2 linked regions of the Bombyx mori genome follow. Each later gene encodes a partner of the first gene's protein in a complex. Links are inferred from orthologs where the notes say so. Each region holds a gene or a part of one and is shown on either strand. Other genes may lie near its edges.

Region 1 (5,904 bases):
TTAACTGTGATGCATCAATGACAGGAGTCGCTATTCCTTGAGCTTGCAGTGCCCTTTTCATTAGAATTTCATTGCACTCTTCTGCCGTCAGTTGTAGTGGTCCAAGGGGAGTCATAAACGACTTTGATGTTAAATTTGTTGCTGCAATTTATAATTTATTTTATTGATTTGGTTCACATAAGTTTATTGTTATTAAATATTAACATGAAACCTAACAATATTGGTCAAATTAACCTTTTTTTTATATTTTACATGTTATAAAATTGTTATGAAACTATAAGAAAATTGACAGAACATGCTTTTAATATTTTCTTCACTTTTTAGTTTTAGTTTATTTTTCTCTTTTCTAAGAAAAAAACTAATATCTGCATTAATAAAATCAGTATTTTGTTATTAGGAGTCAATTTAACTGAGTGCAGTATGAATAGATAAATAAGAACTGTCAGTAGATTTTGTATTAAATACTTACAGAGAACTTTATTTATCTAATTTAAGCTTAAAATTAAAATTTAATTTGAATTTAAGCAATTAATGCTAAATAAGCAAAAAGCTGACTAGTAAGCGATTGTAAGCCTTAAAACAGTTAATAATACCCACTATGTATTGTCGCTGTTTGGTTTTGTTGTGAAACCCTGTTTATAGTATGGGTTGGAGCTTCATTCAGAACAAACATAGCTCTCCTGGCCGTCACCGGAGCTCCTGCTGTGACAACCCTTGTGACTTGAGCCCCCGAGTTGGATACTGCCACAGCAACAGCACCCACTTTATCTTGGACTTGCGGTGTCTTGTGAGACATAACAGTGAGTGTTGTCTCTGGAGACACCTGAAATGTTTTATTTATTGTTGATTATTTGTTTTTATTTATAAAATGATTTTAAGTCTTTACTGAAATGAAACCTATTTTGAAACAAAATAGCACATATAAGTACACAATTTCATAATAGCTTTTTTTTGTTGCTAAATATTAAAATAACTAGAAAATTTACTTCAAGTGAAAGCTGATTGTTGTTAATTTCATTCAATCTTGCTTATGGTTAAAACTTTGAGAGGATGCACTTTGAAATTAAAGTGCACAATAAATGTTTACTCTAAAGTGCTTCAGTTATTTAATTTATTTTATTTAGACCTTACCGTACTCCCAAGCGAATAACTGAGGCTGCTCGGAGTTTCGACATCGCCCTTGGTAAGGTCCGCGGAACTCGTAAAGCCCCAAGAATAACCGAAACCCGAAACATTGTTCGGTGTTGGCATACACATTTTCACCACAATATAAACTTCACTACATAGAAATGTAAACGCACTAACACAGATTCACTATTTGATAGTAAACAGTCCTCATGACAGTTTTATCATTGCGAACATGTATGTACGACCTCACAACCACACACGCAAAACGCACTCATTGACAGCGACGCCGAATATCAAGCGAAAACAACACTAATTTACAACTTGTGATGGTGTTCTGTGTAAATAACGATGAATCTTAACTTTAGACGACATCTAAATTAGTTTAATCAACCCAATATAAAAGGCGGCCCAGAACAACGACGCTTCAACGAACATTGACACGCACATTATTTACAATAAATAGTACGTTATTAGAAGTCATATATGCATTTATAAGCTTCATAATTACATATAAAATAAAAAACACTTTCGTATGTCAAAAAAAATTGGAGAAAATCCAGATTTTTATGAAAACAATTAATTTATCGCACACACAAAAAACCTGACGCCATTTTATTATTTATGGTCATTTGAAAACTGAAGCATAAACTTTTAAATTTCTAGTTTTTTTTTTGTCAAAGACAAACTTTATAAAATTCTTGAAATTAGTTTATTTTTTAAGCCCTATAACTAATCAATCAAAGCTGTAGTTTCACTAAAAGATTTTTGGTATTATGAATAAATGTACTTCTCTGCATACTGTTCTACTTTTGAATTAATTTCTATTTAAATTGGCTGAATTTTTCATCCTAAACGCTTTAGAACTAACAAAAATTACGTGATTTAATTACACCACATTCTTTACATGAAATGTCAATATTCTTGGGGTATTTTTTAATTTATCTTAGTTACTTGATACATAGGTAATAAATTTATGCACTCATAGTCTGACTTCTTTGCAATATTACTAATTAAGACAAGCTCTTCAAGAACTCAAGTACCTGACTTTTCATAGATTTAAGTATAATCTGCCACCATCATGTTCTTTATGGAAATTGAATACATATTTTATGATAGATTTCAAATTTGAAGTAAACTAAACCTACAAATAAATACATCCGTTCGTTATGTATAATAATAATAATATTAAAGTATCAACAGCTAGCAATATAAATGTAGAAACAGCCTGTCATCAACTGTCACTGTCAACTTAAAATTACCAAAGAAAGTATAAAATACCTACCTACCTAGGTAGGTACATAAATATAACAGTTTAAACCTTAAATCTGAGTTTGATACTTTTTCCCTAACATATAGATTCAATATAGAATTGACCTATTTCCCGTTTATGAAATAGACATAGACGTCTTAAAATTCAAAATGAATCCGATGTCAATGGACCGAGATGAACCTTCCTCATTGTTATCATTTTCCTCCAATCACCCTCTAGAACAGTTTGTCCTTTTAGCAAAGGGAGCTAAAGGTTCTGCGTGCGCTGAACTCATCAAACAGGTTCTGGAGGCTCCAGGAGTGCATGTTTTCGGCGAGCTATTAGAGATGCCAAATATTAAAGAGGTTAGAAAACTTACCTTTATATCGATCAATTAATTCTAATACATTTTTAACCATTAAATGTATGAAACTGTCCGAATTCTATGGGTAGAAATCAATTTGGCGCTCTTGTTAAAATTCATTTTATTGTATTTTTCAGCTGGAGAGTGGACCTTATGCAACTCATTTAAAAACTCTTAATTTGTTTGCCTATGGCACATATAAGGACTACATTGAGAACAAATCGGACTATTTAGAATTAACCACAGTCCAGTGCAAGAAATTACAGCATCTGACCATTGCAACACTTGCAACACAAGAGAAATGTATCCCTTACAGTGTGTTACTTGAGGAATTGGATATTAAAAATGTTAGAGATTTAGAAGATCTTATCATTGAAGCTATTTATGCAGGTGAGTTGATTTTCCTACTATAGTGTATATACAAACAGTCCCTAATAAAAAAAGTGTCAGAGTTGTTGATTCATAAAACAGTATTAAAATTCAAGTTTGACTACATGCATTTTATACCTTGTTTTTTTCTTTTTCGAGTTATTCTTGTGGTGTATATGAGAAAACAATTCAGTGCCGAATTTGATGTAGTATCTAATTTATTTAGTTCATGTTTTATATAGATTAAAGCCACATATATAAAATGTGCATTGATAAAGAATACATATACACTAAATAAGCATAACTTCTAAAGTGTCCATATAAAAAAAAATCATTAAATCTTAAATGAATTTAGCTACCAATACAAATAGGAAACTGATGCTACAATGACATGAGCCATGAGCCCTACTATTATGTCTTCAGATAATTTAATGCATCTTAGTGGAATAAAGTTGGTATGAAGTCGTCGTGGCCTAAAGGATAAGACGTCCGGTTAATTCATGTTGAAGCGATGCAAAGGTGTTCGAATCTCGCAGGCGGGACCAATTTTTCTAATGAAATATGTACTCAACAAATGTTCACGATTGATTTCCACGGTAAAAGAATAACATAGTGTAATAAAAATCAAACCCGGCAAAATTATAATTTGCGTAATTACTGGTGGTAGGACCACTTGTGAGTGCGCGCGGATATCTACCACCGCCCTGCCTATTTCTGCCGTGAAGCAGTAATGCGTTTCGGTTTGAAGGGTGGGGTAGCCGTTTTAACTATACTGAAACTTTAGAACTTGTATCTCAAGGTGGGTGGCGTCTACGTTGTAGATGTCTATGGGCTCCAGTAACCACTTAACACCAGGTGGGCTGTGAGCTCGTCCACCCATCTAAGCAATAAAAAAATTACTTAATTAAAAAAAAAGTTTTATCATAAAAAATTCAATTACAATTTGAGGTTTTACAATATAACTATTGGTTTACCTTATAATTACAAGTACTTATGCTTAGTAAGTCAATGTTATGTTCCCTGTTTGAGTTTGTATGCCCTGAAAACAGTTTAACATCCTTTTATTTATCCATATAAGCATATATTTATTTTGATTTTTCTTTTACTATTTTATTTTGTTTTTACCTTCGTAGAAGGGGAGATCAATCTATTCCATGTGGTAGTAAGTAGTTGTAGGGAAACAAATAAATCTGAATGTGAATATAGCAAGCAAACATCAATAAACAATTACTTTCTAAAAATAGCATTTTTGCACTTCTCATTATGACCATGGCAACTAATTAACAATGCATTCCTTTTAATTATTACTTGTATAAAATTAAGTTCAATAAAAACCTCATTAGACAGATAGTGTGTATTCTTTATTTTACATCAATATAAACATAAATACAAAACATACATCACACAAAAGTAGAATGGGCAGTCTTATTGTCAAGAGGATTCTATTCCAGATAACCATGAAGTGGACAAGAATCACATGAGGAAATAAATTAACCGCAGTGTACTTATTAGTTAAAAGATATTTTTTTAAATATGCACAATATAACAATATATAGATATACAGTATAAACTCATTAGGAGTAGAATACCTTGACGATTTGAATATACATACATGATGTTGAACTATTTTACTGTTACAATAGACCACTCGCACGATAATTGGAAATAATTTACATACTATACTTCCATAGACATAATTCACGGCAAGTTGGACCAGGAATGTAAACGTGTGGAAGTGGACGTGGCCCTTGGCAGAGATGCGCGGCTTGAAGATGCAGCTTCCATTGCTGATGTCCTGGCCGACTGGTGCAATGCTTGTGAAGCAGTACTCAATTCTGTAGATCAACACATACAGAGAGCTAATCATCAGAAACAGAAGGCTATCAGACATCAGCAGGGTATAGAACAGAAGGTGAGTGTTATATTATCTAAGGTGCATGTATATTATATAACAATTCCTAAAACAAAAACATCATCATCAAATACAATGTTTGACCTTCTAAAAATCATATAGTTCTTATAAAAATCTTCGATCAACAATACTATTATTGATCAAGCTCAAAATAAAAAAAAATACATAACTTTATGACCCATTCGGAATGTAGGTTCACCACAAAGTATCAATCAGCAAGAAATTCAGAGCTTGCACTTTTAAAGATAAATGTATATTTACAGTTCTGGATGGAAATAGTCTTCAAAATTCTCTTAACTATTATTTTTTATCCTCCATATATATACAATTAGATTCAGATCCATAAGTAGACATGTGACATAGACAACTGCAGTGACACAGTTTAAAGGAGCATGCATTCGATTCACTATGCTTAGTGCGAGTTTTTTTACTTCTCGATCTTGTAAAAGTTAACCGTGTAGGAGTTAGAACAGTGTCCCTTCGTTTGCCGCTAGGTTCGCTGTTCCAACTTCATACTTATTTGAGTTAACTTTTACGCAATCGAGAAGTAAAAAAACTCGCACTACGTGCACAGAACACTGTCTATAGAAAGCAGTTTAGTGTCGCTTCTGTAATTGCTCGAAATCCTTTTTACCTTTCGAATATTTATCAATTCATAGTTCTGTTCAGCTTATTTGTAGAACTAGATGGTAATGGTCACTTTTACAAATATCTTAAATTTCATGTTTTACTGTAATTGTAAGTTTTAATATATTTCGCCATTGATGACAAACCAGAGTCCCAGGGATAGTACATAAGAAAACGTTTTGAAGTCCCGTAAAAAAACAGTCATGCATTACCAAACAGTAGATTATTATGAGAATTTGATTGAATACCTCAATT
Region 2 (2,263 bases), on another chromosome or scaffold:
TCATCTTCACAGAAAATGTTCGAGAAAGGACTCTAAACCTTATCGGAAGATCGTACAGTTCCATAAAAATAGATAAACTGATCTCAATGATTGGTCTCAGCAGGGAAGCCACATTACAAGTCTGTCAAGATCGCAGGTGGACTCTACATGATGATGGCATGACAGTGAATCCCTTACCCCCAGCACAACCAGCCCCATTGCATACTTCTAGTGAAGATCAACTTTTCAAACTAACAGAATTTGTGTCATTCTTAGAAAATTAAGTAAGTTTCGAAAATAAATCAGTTTCTAGATTAGATCTTAATTAAAATCCCAAAGTTGGCTTTGAAGTAAGCAACTCAGCCTGTAGAGTCTAAACCTTAACTCTCAACCCCTTGAGGGAAAGTGGCATTAGCTATGATAGTTAATAATACTAAATGCCTCCATTTTGTGTCATCAAATTACTTCAAGAACTGCAATAAGTTAATTGATAATTTGTTAAAATAAAACATCTTATATAAATTGCAATACTATTCTGTTTTGCAAGTTATCTTTTGCAAGTAGGTGGTGTGTTTCTAAATACCCATAAACTTTTTCAATATGAACATTTTGAATTGTAATTGGTATTAATAATAATATATCATAGATCAGATATCTATGCTATCTTTTTTAGGAAAATATTGTATTAAATAATAGATCTATAAGTTTTAGCTGAAACCCAAATAATAATACAGAAAAATAAAACACTAATCCAAATATTCATCAAAAGCTAATGAAACTTGGATAAAAAAATTACTACATAATTGCACACAAAGCAGACGGTTCTCTGTTGCATACTTCAAAGCCTGCTCTTAATCGAAAGCTATTTAATCATTCAAATATATAAATGTAGTTACAACAAAGGCACATTTTAACTAAAATTTCTGGTTTTAGGAAAATATTTCGAATTTGAGACTAAATTTGGTCTTCAGTTCATTCAATTGCGATTGCAATATCCAAAAGAACTTAGAGGTTAAAATAAAAGAATGTCATTTATATTTAATCTCATTTATTAACAAAATTGGAAGTCTATAATTGGTAAAAAAAAATGGTTTTCTTAACTTCTACTGAGATTATAATGGAATAAAAAAAAACGTAAAATAAGTTGGCAGTGTAAATTGAAAGAGCTAAATAAATTCTTAATTAAAATAAAGCTATTAATTCTAAAATAGTTTTCAGTGACTCCTTTTTACTCCAGTCACACTAGTAAATTCAAAAAGATTTTTAAAATATCACAAGCAGTTATTTTTAATTGTAATCTCATAACTCCTATCCTTTTTTAAAGTAAGAATAAGTCACTTGGGACGATTGTTTTGGCAACTCTTAGTTAAAACCTCCCTTGGAATGAAACTTGGTTTTGTCTTGGCTGAAGTCGCATGGAATTTGAGTCATCGTCGTCCCCGAGTGAGGCTTCGTAGGCCCTGTTGATCTGTCCTCCGTTGGGCTCCGAGAATACATCCTTCACTGAAATATTAGCATTCGATGCTCTATGACGAGGTCCAACGTTATTATTGAGCTGAAAATAGTACAATCATTAGAATACCATGGTTACGGAAAAACTTAATAACAATATAAATCATAAAACTAAATAATAAAATAATTAAAAATATAATATTGTTTAAATACTATACTAAATACTGATGGAGATATTTGCGGCAGGGATGGGTTTCACCATTCTGCCTATTTCTGCTGTGAAGCAAACATGTGATCCCGTGCAGTTGTGTGGTAATGTCGAAGTGTTAATACCTCATATCTGACGCATACGTGATGTTGATGGGCTGTTTTTTTTTAAGCTTAGGTGGACGATCTCACGGTCCATCTGATGTTAAGTGAGTAAGTGCGGGTTTCATTTTTATTACACGATGTTGTTCCTTCATTGTGCAAGTCAATCGTGAACATTTGTTGAGTACGTAACTCAGTACAAAAATTGGTATCGGCCTGGAATTCGAACACCGTTGCATCGCAAGATACGAATGCACTGGACGTCTTATTCTTCAGGCCACGACGACTTTAAACAACTTTAACTATTTACCACGACAGTAGGCGGACCCTCTGCCCATCTTCAGCAAAAAAAACAGCATGTTAACTATTTCATACCATTCCAGTAACACCGTATTCATTATTAGCGCCAAGTGTCTGCATTTGCGACTTCCTTCTTTCTGCCATTACAGAGTTACGACGGGTCTCTAAAGCTTTCAATGTCTCCCTTCTCAATGTCATTTTACGATTTAAAACTGGGGTACCT

What was found. The genes of interacting proteins can lie anywhere in the genome.
Region 2: COP9 signalosome complex subunit 7b (region 1) and COP9 signalosome complex subunit 8 share a complex: the UniProt entries of both Drosophila melanogaster proteins name them as parts of the CSN complex. The link is inferred for Bombyx mori from reciprocal best matches to the Drosophila melanogaster genes CSN7 and CSN8.

What each region holds. Positions count from the first base shown.
Region 1 is NC_085114.1:3,666,006-3,671,909, reverse strand, and holds the start of COP9 signalosome complex subunit 7b, read left to right. Parts: upstream 1-2,155; 5' UTR 2,156-2,547; coding exon 2,548-2,742; intron 2,743-2,878; coding exon 2,879-3,131; intron 3,132-4,801; coding exon 4,802-5,022; intron 5,023-5,904. Other genes in the region: zinc finger protein 615, read right to left, coding at 1-141, 598-823, 1,132-1,257. UniProt on the Drosophila melanogaster protein: Component of the COP9 signalosome complex (CSN), a complex involved in various cellular and developmental processes.
Region 2 is NC_085110.1:11,097,396-11,099,658, reverse strand, and holds part of COP9 signalosome complex subunit 8, read left to right. Parts: intron 1-12; coding exon 13-263; intron 264-912; exon of another isoform or gene 913-1,345; coding exon of another isoform or gene 1,346-1,534; intron 1,535-2,115; coding exon of another isoform or gene 2,116-2,261; intron 2,262-2,263. Other genes in the region: chitin synthase A, read right to left, coding at 1,346-1,534, 2,116-2,261. UniProt on the Drosophila melanogaster protein: Probable component of the COP9 signalosome complex (CSN), a complex involved in various cellular and developmental processes.